3 linked regions of the Oryzias latipes genome follow. The protein of the gene in region 3 interacts with the protein of the main gene of each other region in a biochemical or structural test. Links are inferred from orthologs where the notes say so. Each region holds a gene or a part of one and is shown on either strand. Other genes may lie near its edges. The genes, in order: apbb1, rad51 and ena/VASP-like protein.

Evidence for each region.
Region 1: the proteins of ena/VASP-like protein (region 3) and apbb1 form a complex in vitro, tested with the Homo sapiens proteins (2 studies listed by BioGRID). The link is inferred for Oryzias latipes from reciprocal best matches to the Homo sapiens genes EVL and APBB1.
Region 2: the proteins of ena/VASP-like protein (region 3) and rad51 form a complex in vitro, tested with the Homo sapiens proteins (2 studies listed by BioGRID and IntAct). The link is inferred for Oryzias latipes from reciprocal best matches to the Homo sapiens genes EVL and RAD51.

The regions. Positions count from the first base shown.
Region 1 is NC_019871.2:9,726,873-9,730,536, forward strand, and holds the start of apbb1 (amyloid-beta A4 precursor protein-binding family B member 1), read right to left. Parts: upstream 2,844-3,664; 5' UTR 2,683-2,843; intron 345-2,682; 5' UTR 323-344; coding exon 1-322. UniProt on the Homo sapiens protein: Transcription coregulator that can have both coactivator and corepressor functions. Adapter protein that forms a transcriptionally active complex with the gamma-secretase-derived amyloid precursor protein (APP) intracellular domain.
Region 2 is NC_019882.2:19,722,704-19,726,455, forward strand, and holds the start of rad51 (DNA repair protein RAD51 homolog 1), read left to right. Parts: upstream 1-1,520; 5' UTR 1,521-1,591; intron 1,592-1,627; exon of another isoform or gene 1,628-1,712; intron 1,713-2,531; 5' UTR 2,532-2,575; coding exon 2,576-2,665; intron 2,666-2,740; coding exon 2,741-2,878; intron 2,879-2,948; coding exon 2,949-3,066; intron 3,067-3,138; coding exon 3,139-3,230; intron 3,231-3,306; coding exon 3,307-3,401; intron 3,402-3,472; coding exon 3,473-3,586; intron 3,587-3,752. Other genes in the region: centromere-associated protein E, read left to right, coding at 497-576.
Region 3 is NC_019882.2:2,014,455-2,018,106, forward strand, and holds part of ena/VASP-like protein, read right to left. Parts: exon of another isoform or gene 2,977-3,652; intron 2,968-2,976; coding exon 2,799-2,967; intron 1,712-2,798; coding exon 1,534-1,711; intron 1-1,533. UniProt on the Homo sapiens protein: Ena/VASP proteins are actin-associated proteins involved in a range of processes dependent on cytoskeleton remodeling and cell polarity such as axon guidance and lamellipodial and filopodial dynamics in migrating cells.

The sequences.
Region 1 (3,664 bases), on a different chromosome or scaffold from region 3:
CCTGACTAAGACCAGGGGTCATTGCTAGTTTGGGAACCTTGGTCTGCTCTTCGTTTCCCTGCTGTTCTTCCTGAGTGATGTTCTGGTGAGGAAAGTCATCCTCGTTTCCATTCTGACTGATATTACAGTTGTGATCTTGATCCTGATGATTCTCAGCTACTTTCCGGAGCTGGTTCTGGCCTTCTTTGACCCACTTGGCATTGTTGCTTGTAGACTCCTGGTCGCACCAGTGGCTGCCTTCATTCAGCTTGTTTTTCAGCTCTTCCTCTTGCCTTTGTTTATTTACAACATATGTCATATCTTCATCATCATGACCACCCATGGTAACTTTCCATGCGAGATATCTGATGAAGAAAGAAATGTTAGAAACACAGCGTTAGAATTTCAAATAGCATGTACTTTGCAGGCAGTTTAGGACAACAGTTATTTTTTAAACACAGTTTTTATTTCATTTCATGTGGTTTTAAATTATAGCATTTTAAAGTGATCTATACTTGTGCAATCATGTGTAGGCACAGGGCTAAAGAAAGACAGAAATAAACACAGAATGAAAGAAAGACAGACAGAAAGACAGACAGAAAGACAGACAGAAAGACAGACAGAAAGACAGAAAGACAGAAAGACAGAAAGAAAGAAAGAAAGAAAGAAAGAAAGAAAGAAAGAAAGAAAGAAAGAAAGAAAGAAAGAAAGAAAGAAAGAAAGAAAGAAAGAAAGAAAGAAAGAAAGAAAGGTTTTGTTTTATGAAAAAATGCTGAATACATTTTTAACTGTTGGCATATTTCTAAAAAAACACAGGATGAAAACAAGATACAAAATCATTGCAGACAGGCTAAATCAGAAACCTTTTTTGTTATTCACTGCAACCGATTTCTAAAGCAGGATCCTTTTTCAAACGACCCATAATTTCTTTCCAAAAAGCTGAGACACAAACCACAAGCTTACACTCCCAAAATGGCCTGTAAAACCGAAGATTCTTTACAAATCTTAACTAAGACTAACTTAAGCCTGTGATGAAAAGGCTAGTTTTCTTAAAGAATCTGCTAAAAATGTATTGCAGAGTTAGTGACCAATTTCCAACCTTTTTTCTTTATTTCTTAGAAATGCTGTTGCTTTTATAGAACTGAATTTTGATAGCCAAGTCCTCAAACTGATTGTAAGTCAGCAGCTGGAACCAGTGAACACCAAGAAAAAAAAAGTTTGGATGTGGATTAGGCCTGGACAATAAATCGCAAATTTATCGTTATCGCATTATCAAGCTGTGCATTACGCATAACCGCAAAAGTCGGTGAAAATTGCATACCTTAAATGTGCTAAAACAATCTTATGACACCTTGAAGTATTTAATAAATCAAATAAATCCCTTAATGTTATTGCCCAATCAGATGGAGCCCTTTTAATGTTAGATGCTCGCCTCCTATGCAGACGAGGGTCATTTGGAGTAGAATTTAAGTTATGTTGACTTTTATTTAAATCAAACTGTTGCAGTGAAATGGAATTGATGCTTTTGGTAGTTTTGCTATTCGTTCATGCATCGCAAGTTCTATCATCATCGCAATATTGATCACTATTATCGCAAATTGTGAGTTTTCTTTATATCGTGCAACCCTAATGTGGATATCAGTTATATGAGAAATTTTATGTCAAATATTAAGATCATCTGAGCAATATGACAGGTATCCGGTCCTGCATATAACCAAACTCTTGCAAACATACAAAGTAGCTGTTATGCTGTTGGCCTGCAGAAAAGTCAACCAATGATTCTCCTGCACTCTGATTAGAGCTAATGCAGCAGTAAAACTATTTCTGATTTAAAAAACAATAACAGCCACAGCCTTTAGAGAAATAGGGAGCTGCAGCAGTCGCATCAAACCTTGAGAAATGATTTTATTTTAGTTTTAAGACACTGTCTTGGAGGAGGCAAAACCAGAGCAGCACAGTCATTCAGTGGAGGCGTAAAAAGACAGTTTGACAGCTGAGAGTCTTTTTTTTATTTTTTTTTTAACTACTTTGACAATTGCATCCCACTTGATCAGTTGACATAACGCCTACCTGGAAGCTGTGGAAGCTTTATGAGGAACCAGCTGTTTGGTTTTCCTTATTTTATATACTTAAATCAAATAATAATTCATTTAGGAGAGGGGGCATGCAGCAAAGCTTTGAGATAATGTCAAATATCTGATGCTGCAGTTCCTACATATTTCCTATAATTTAATAGCACGTCGTTAGCATCTACAAATATGCTTTTCCAGATTGATTAAAGCAAATCCATATGGGTAGAGTACGTTTAAAAGAAGCAAGTGTGTTATTATTCTTCTCTATGGTCGTCAGGGATTCCATCCGGAAAATTATACTCATCCTTTCCATTTGCTTGCTTGCTAGCACGGCCTTTTTAAGGTTTAAGATAATACGCTCAAGTGGCAGTAAAATGGCTGGCCCTGACAAATATTTTGAATTCAGAAAAGAATGAATACAAAATATAAAAGATAGAAGACAAAATTCAGCGGCGGATGCTATCGCCGCAGCTGGAAATAACGGCCACCATCCGCCGCCATCATCACCTTCTTCTCTGCTCGGCTAAGGGGTTAGCTTCGCCCCGCTAGCCAGCCAAGGCTACCGAAGTGAGGGTTTCAACGGTTGACGTCTCCCAGGATATTATCCAGAGCTGTTCAAAAGATAACTTACCGGTTCCACCAAACCCGCTGTGATCGATAATTGCTCTGGAGGCCGAGTTAACTACATATTTCCACGCATCGTGAGGTTCTGCTCGGTTCTGGGTGTTTTCAGGCAGTGATGGAGGACGGACTGCGTCACGGAATGACGTCACGGCCCGAGCCCACGGAGCAGGAAGGGGGGCTCCACGAAGCAGCCTCACCGTTTTTGGAGAAAAAGATCCATCCAGTGAGGACGTTTTTGACTTCATTACATGCCACATCAAACAATCACATCAAACATGAGAGATAGGTAAATATATACTGTATATGTAGTCTTTAAAGTATTGTACAACCAAAAAAAAAAAAAAAAAAATCAGAGTAACGGAGCAGAAAAAAGGAAAAGGTTACATAACTTTAATTTTATTTCTCTATTATTTCCCAACAAAAACTCAAAACATAAAGCCTACAAAACCTAAATTTAGCGTGGCTTTTTTATACTCTGCTTTCCTTTTCAAAAACCTAATTTCTGACCTGTTTTTGGAACAACAGACAGATAACGGTCAATTTAGATTATTTTATTTTTTATTTTTGCAGCCTTTAAACTTCATTTTATTATTGAGCTTATCAGGTTCAACATAAAATTGGCAAATAAATATTCATTTATTTTTATTTTTATTATGAAAAAAAAAAGTATAAACCGAAAATAAAAGTCAAATACAAGAAAGAAAACATGTTTTTTTTTACAGTTTGTTTCAGTTTTTAAAATAAATTGAAAACATTTCTTGGATCATTTTAATCAACCATTGTGTTAAATCTTTAGAACTCAAATGTTGTTAAATAAGAATTTTAACCTATTGCATCTACACAAAAAAGATATTTCCAGTGCACTAAAAGCTTAAATAACACTTATTAAATGTATTTTAAAATATCTTATTTTTTTAAATAAGAACAAAAACAATTTGGACTATTTGTTAATCTTCTTAATCAATGCTAAAATTCTTCTCCAAGCAAAT
Region 2 (3,752 bases), about 18 Mb from region 3:
TCCGTGGAAATGGGAGTCTTTCCATTCCAGAGGAAGGCGTTTCAGCAGATTAATAGGCAGGCATATCTGTGGACAGCTGTTTAATTCTGGGAGGACCCTTGACTCTCTCCTTTCTTTAAAAGCAGGCTCTTAATTTGTGAAAAGATCCAGAGGTTTCTTGAGTCACCGTGAAGTTGTTGATTCAAAAGCTACTTCTGGAATTTTCCTGCTTACTAATGTTTTTAACGGTTACTGAAAAGTTTTCTGAAGATGCAAACTAACCTTTGATCTGTTCTGAAGTCTGAAAAAACATAAAGCTGAGCAGATTCATTTTAGTAAAGACAGTAAATTCTGTTAACAAATTCAGGTTTTTTCTTCTTATTTACTTTTTAAATATATATTTATCTGTGTGCATTTGTTCTAACCCCAGTCTTTTTCTTTAAATCCAGGGTAAAGGATTCTGTCATGTTGATGATTAAAGCACAGAAAAAATGTTTTTAAATCTTTTATTTTTCAGATGCTGCAGCTGGAGCCAGTGGGACAGACCCGTGGTGGCCACAGTCTCCCAAAAAAGAAGATTTCTGCAAAACCCAATGAACATTAAAAGAATCCTTTTAAAAATGAATATTTCACTTTTCTTTTAAAGCCAAAAAATAAATCCTGTGTTTTAGTCTGACTTTTTTGTATTTCAGTATAAGAGTGATTCTCCTCTGAGTTGAAAACACTTCATGTGCAATTTTGTTATAATTGTAATAAATGGAAAATGAAATGTGAGGTTTATTCTTTTATTGTTTTAAGGTTACGCTTGGTTGGAAAAAAAAAATTCACTTGAATTTTGTTGCAGTTATGTACGAAAAATGTCAAATTAGTAGGTCACAGCTGTTTTAAATTTGAATTTGCATTTATTGGCCCATGACTTGGATGTTTGTTTTTGAGGAACTAGTTTAAAATCAAACGCATATTTAAGCATGCGGAGGTCATGTTTAAATCCTTTTATGGTGGGGATTTTATTTTCCTATTGAAAGTAAAATAAAGGCTTCAAATTTAAACAAGATGCCAATGATGCCTGAAAGTGCTTTTACAATTCAGTGAAATCTTTGCTCTATCAAAATAAAGGTTTATTTCAATGTTTACTGAAAACCTTATTAGTCACGGATGAATAAATGAATCTAAATACCACTTTTGAAGACTTTTTTTGTTAAAATAATCACAAAAACGTGTCTGACAGACATTTTATTTGGTAAAGACATTACTTATAAACATGAAATTGAGGGGAAAATGCGTTTAAACAGATCTTCCTAATGAGAAATTTTGGATTTTTAACGGATCCCTGTTCTTTGTAGCTTTTCACATTATGAGCAAGCCTCTTTTTTTAAGATTTAAGTATACATATTTTATGTTTTTGTGGAAAACAATTTCAAACTAATATCCATTTACGAAGCTAAAACCGAAAATGTTTAGTTCTTTATTTTTTACTTGATAAAAAAAATGTTCCTTTTCCGGTTTCCTGTTTTGTCAAGGCATGGGAACACATGTGACGTCATCGCGTTCGACAGGAATCTCGTGCGCGGGAGTTTTGTTTGTAGGATCAGCAAACAGAACAAAGCAGCAGGTATTTCATCGAAACCGTGGTCTTTAGTAGAAAAATGTCACTGCTTCTAGGGGGTTCGAACCATGACACTTGGCTCTTTGCTCTTAAACCCAGAGCAGCTTTACGGAAGATCAAACTTTTTGTACGAAATTACGCAAATTAGCGCTAAAGCTAAGTTAGCGGGCGACTTCAATTTAGCCAAAAAATGCTTTGAAAGATACAAATAAGCCTTTTGAAAATATGAACAGCTGCTGTTGTTATTGGAAAACTTTGATTTATAGGAGTCAGTTTGTAGTCGTTTGGTTAAACACTGGTTTCCCCATAAGTGTTACGTCAACTTATCAATAAAGTTTTTGAATTTGAACAACGGGGTGTAACTTCAACAGGCAATGTTAACTTTAGAAAACATTTGTCTCTTCTAATCATTTATTATAAAATGCGGATTAAAAAAAGCTTTGAACACCTGCTGAGACGCTGCAGTTAACATTTTATTTTATCAACTACAACTAAGAACTACAAATCCCTGCTGCATAACAGGCTGCAAATTGGTTTGATAATGCCACTTTATTCCCTGAATTATGTAGAGGAAAGAAAAGTAATTTAAACGTATATATTTAAAATTATTTGACTAATAAAAATTCGTTAGTATTCAGTATATTGCTTAAAAACCTCTAAAGAGGATTGATGGATAATTGCATGCTGGGAAATCATGTTTCACGTGTTTAAGTTTTAAGTTACTGTTAATATTCTTATTCTGTGCTTAGGTGTTTTGGGTCGTTTAAAACGCTCCTATTTTAGTTTAAGAAAATATCCTCAAGTCTTTTATGTTTTGAAGAAAAACTAGTATTAAATCAGTAGGATTTAGTTAAATGAAAGCATTAGACCTCCTTAAACTTTCTGTCCTGTTTTGTTTTGTATCGTGGTGTTTGCTGCTCTGACACTCCTTTTTGACTCTGTGCAGTGAGGACCCTGCCTGAGGAGAATTCAGCTTTTCATTCAAGAGTCATGGCCATGAGGAGCGAGGCTCGGGTGGAGGCAGAAGTGGCGGTGGAGGAGGAGGAGAACTTTGGGCCGCAGCCTCTTAGCAGACTGGAGGTTTGAACCCTGATAGTTCTATTGTGTCTTTTGCAGAAGCTTTGTTGTCTTAAACATTTTGGTTTCTGCTTGCAGCAGTGTGGAATCAGCTCCAGCGACATCAAGAAACTGGAGGACGCAGGCTTCCACACCATTGAGGCCGTGGCGTACGCTCCCAAGAAGGAGCTGCTCAACATCAAAGGCATCAGCGAGGCCAAAGCCGACAAGATCCTAGTGAGGAACAGCAGCTTCTGGCTTCAGGGATTCTGCTGCTCCTACCTAACGGTTCTGTTATCTCTCTCAGACTGAAGCTGCCAAGCTAGTACCGATGGGTTTCACTACAGCCACAGAGTTCCACCAGAGAAGGTCGGAGATCATCCAGATCTCCACAGGATCCAAAGAGCTGGACAAACTCCTGCAGGGTGAGTTTGCTGGAGCTCCTTCACCATCCCTGAGGATTTGAAGAATGTTGACCTTTTCCTTCCTGAGTTCAGGTGGTATTGAGACAGGCTCCATCACAGAGATGTTTGGGGAGTTTCGCACGGGGAAGACGCAGCTGTGCCACACCCTCGCTGTCACGTGTCAGGTAAGATCAGCGCGGAATGGCCAAACTTCCATCTGTCTGATCACGTGAAGCTTTCAGTCCTCTGTTCTGTTTGCAGCTGCCCATCGATCAAGGGGGAGGAGAAGGGAAAGCGATGTACATCGACACAGAGGGGACCTTCAGACCAGAGAGGCTCCTCGCTGTGGCAGAGAGGCGAGTTTCCACCGTGAGCGTCAAACTCCTCATCTTACTTTGAGAAAATGTTAAAACTCTGGGCTCTTCAGGTACGGTCTGGTGGGCAGTGACGTCCTGGACAACGTGGCGTACGCCCGCGCCTTCAACACCGACCATCAGACCCAACTGCTGTACCAAGCTTCAGCCATGATGGCAGAGTCCAGGTGAGTCCTTCACACCTTCTGCTGTCCTCCAGTCCACTTCCTGAGATCAGACAGTTTGCAGGTTTCCGAACACATTCAGTCAAAGGTCACATACCCAAGTGTTTGAGCTTTAAAGTCCGATCATCTTTTTTTAAAATCTATTTTCAAATCATTCCCAGTAATCTTT
Region 3 (3,652 bases):
TAATACGGCGCTGTTTTGTCAGATTCCCTAATATCAATTCAAAATCTTTACTTCTACATCAGCTATTTCAAGTGTTTAAATTGTCATTTAAAACCCCTTTTTCTATAGTTTTAAAGTCACACATCACGGAAATAGTTTTTAAATTAATAAAAGTACCTACATGACATGGTGCAGAAGAGAAAGCGGTTGCAGCAGATGCACAGACACTGACAGACCCACTCCCTCCTGACCATCTCCTGCCTCGGTTGTCCCTACACCTCCACTCTCCCACTCCCGCTCTGTCCATCTCCACCTCTTTGTGCCTCCTCACCTCCTTCCCCGCCTCGGCATCGTGTGTCATGTTTGAGGAAACCCACACCGGCAGCAGTGCAGCGAGCATCTTTGGCTAAGGTTTCAAAACATTGGGTTTGTCTGCAAGCTGCACGGCCGAATGTCACCGAGCCACATGAGAAGTCGATTATCTGAGTGGCCCCTGGCTGCAGCAGGCGGCCCCTCGTCAACAAAATCAACCACTTTCATCGTGTTTTAAGTCAAAATGACCACCATGGGTCATGTTTTTGTCCCCCCTACCACTAGGAGGTATTATCAGCATAAAGACTACACATAACCTATGGAACTGTCCAAAGTGAGGTTCACGCTAATCTTTTACACCTGCATCCAGTGTGTTCGTGTTTGGCTCAGATCAGCCAGCAGCTGCTGTCACTGCAGCCCTCGCCCCACGTTAGCATGCAGATGAAAAGGTCCGCTCCAGACCTCAGGGCCCAGGGGAGATCCTCTCCATGAGTCATCTTAATTAACGGGCCGGGGGGGTCGACTGCAGGGGCAAACTAAAAAACCCTGCAGGCTGTGAACGCCACTCCGTCTCATTCTGTTCCTCTGCAGTTTCTAACTCTGTGGGGCAGCGCTTGTGAATCATTTATCTCCTGATAAGAGCAGGAAAAATGGACACATTTAGACAAATGGCCTAAAAACACGACCGTTTGCCTCATCTGAGAAATGAAGATGGAGACTTTTATTGTTTCTCCACACGTCCTTGACAAAGAGACGATCCATCATCTCAATTACAGTTTGATCTTCTCATCTCCAGCAGGATCTACCTGCTGGGTACTACAACTCATCCAGCAGATTTCATGGCTTGTAACCTGAGCCCCACATTTACAAAAGGATCAAACAATCAATCAACAAAAACCAGAACTCTGTTTAAACTCCAATTAGAGCCAGATTAGTTATGGACTAAGACACAATAGGGGAGTAGCAGGTTTTAACGCCCTGCGTGAGGCATCATCTTACACCTATCATTGGACGCCTCAATAATTGAGTTTGGAGATCTTGATGAGATTTTCTGCCAACGTTCCTTTTTTTTTTGTAGAAATTGCGAAGAACAAACTTCTTCAGTTGTTTGCTGAAAGCTTTCAGATGTGGGAGGGGCTGAGTCACTGACTGCAGTCCCTGTAAACATCTTCATCGTTTTCCTATCAGTCCAGAAAAAGTTGCAGGTTTCGTCGTTGCTAAATGAGTCAAACGAGAACACACCTCCATCCTGAGCACTGAGGACATTGAGGGCGAAGAGCATGGCGTTGGAGAAGGTGGTGGCCTCCTCTTTACTGGCAAAGTTGAGGCCGTAGACCTGCCGGGCATCCCTCCACTGGTGAAAGGTGGGAGTGGCTTGGTTGTACTTGAGACCCTTCACTATGGAGTAGTTGATAACCACCTGTGAAAAGAAATGAGATGTTTTTATTTTTTTAGAAAAAGGAGCATTGTTCTTGTGTTTTGCCCTAAACATGACATACATCTGCTTGGGACGGTTTAAATAATGTCCCAAAAAGCCGATTATATTACCAAAACAAAAAACTGTCTATGACTCAAAATTCCCAACTTTGAATTTCCTTTTAACTATGCTTTTTTTCTTTTTTTTCTGTGTTTAAAGTTCAGGTTTGAGAAAAACACATGAGGATTAGGATTCTCCATATATTAAATCAGCTCTCATTTAATTTGAGCGAATCATGACAGTTCACCATAATCCAGAATTTAAAAAAGAAAGAAAGAAAAAAGGAAATTATTCAGCAGTTTATAAAATAACAACAAAAGTTGCTCAACAACAGAACATTCCATCCCACAGATCTCATCCAGAGTCCAGTGCGCTGCTTAAGATGTAAAAGATAAATATACCCAGAAAGCTTTAACTGACTGAGGCTGAACACCAATCTTCAAATCGTGTTTCTTTCTTTCCCACTAAACATTCAGCTTCAGAGCTTTTATTTTGAAAGAACCCCAACTGAGAGTTTAGCCTAAAAGTTATTTTGGAAATTCCTCACAGAAACATTAGGGCTTTTAGACATTATTTTAGTATTTTTGTTAAGGATAAAGAAAACGTCTCGTCTTCTGCTGTAAACATTACAACCAGACAGTTTATTTAAATCTACTGCAGGATGTAAAGGCCAAAAAAAGAGTGTTTTTTTACTTAAATAAAGATGCTAAAAGATAATTTTATTTAACTTTGTTTTTAAAAACGATGTGTCCTTCAAGGTTAGGTGGAATCCCTCAGCTGGTAGAAGATTAGTGCATAAGTAAGATTTATCTCACTGTTATTACATTTTTTTCAGCTTTTTTCTATGATTTTTAAAACACTAACATTTAGACTAAAAATGCTCTTAGTATTTTATTTCAGTGGCAAACTTTCAGGCTTCTGGAGCTTCATGAACACACAGAAGTCCCTGATTTGTTTAACAAAATGTGATCAATAAAATACATCCATCCCATTGGAAATGATAGAATATGTCTCAGTTGGACTCCGGTACCTGCTGGTCCTGCAGTTTGACACCGACCACTCTGAAGGTGTTGCTGGCAGTGTTGTGGTAGATGTTGATGCGACTGAATCCCTGCTGTCCGGGTTTGATGGGAACCCACTTCTTACTGGTGTCATCGTAGACCATGACGGAGGCTCGAGCCTGGCAGATGCTCTGCTCGCTGGGGGGAAAACACAAAAAGACGAAGGATTCGTGAAAGAAATCCTGATTTAAACATCCTGAAGCTGGACGAAACATCCTCCTACGTACAGTAACTACCAACAATGCAAATGTGTCCTCTGTAGAGAACATTTCTGAATGTCTCCCAACCACCGAAAGAACTCCTTTTGGTACAGAGGACAGATATAAAGGGGGCGGAGCTCTGGGAATTGTAGTTTTCGGGGGATCTCAACTGAAAGTTTTTTCTGGTAGTCAGGAGAAAATGCCACCATTTCCACACTTAAGGTTGTAGTTCAGAATAAATATAATAGAGTACGGTCTAAAAGTGAACCACAGTTTTACAAATTATCCATCAATTTACTCAACCCGCTTTATTGTCCTTTTTGGGGTCACAGGGTTGCCGGAATTTGTCCCGGCTACCATTTTACGAAGAAAAGAATAAACAGAAACGACTAAAATGTGCTAAAAACCCAACAAACTGAAACCGTTTGGTTCCTCTAAACAACAAAGTGGAAAAGAAATGTCAAAATAAAAGTCTAATTAAGTAATTGGAAAAAATCCAGTTGAAGTGACTGATGATAAAACTCACATGTCACAAACTCCATGTCACTAAACCTGATTTAAATTAGATGAAAATCCTTCCTACGCCCTTCAAACAGACGGTCTACTTCTAGAATGAAGACAAA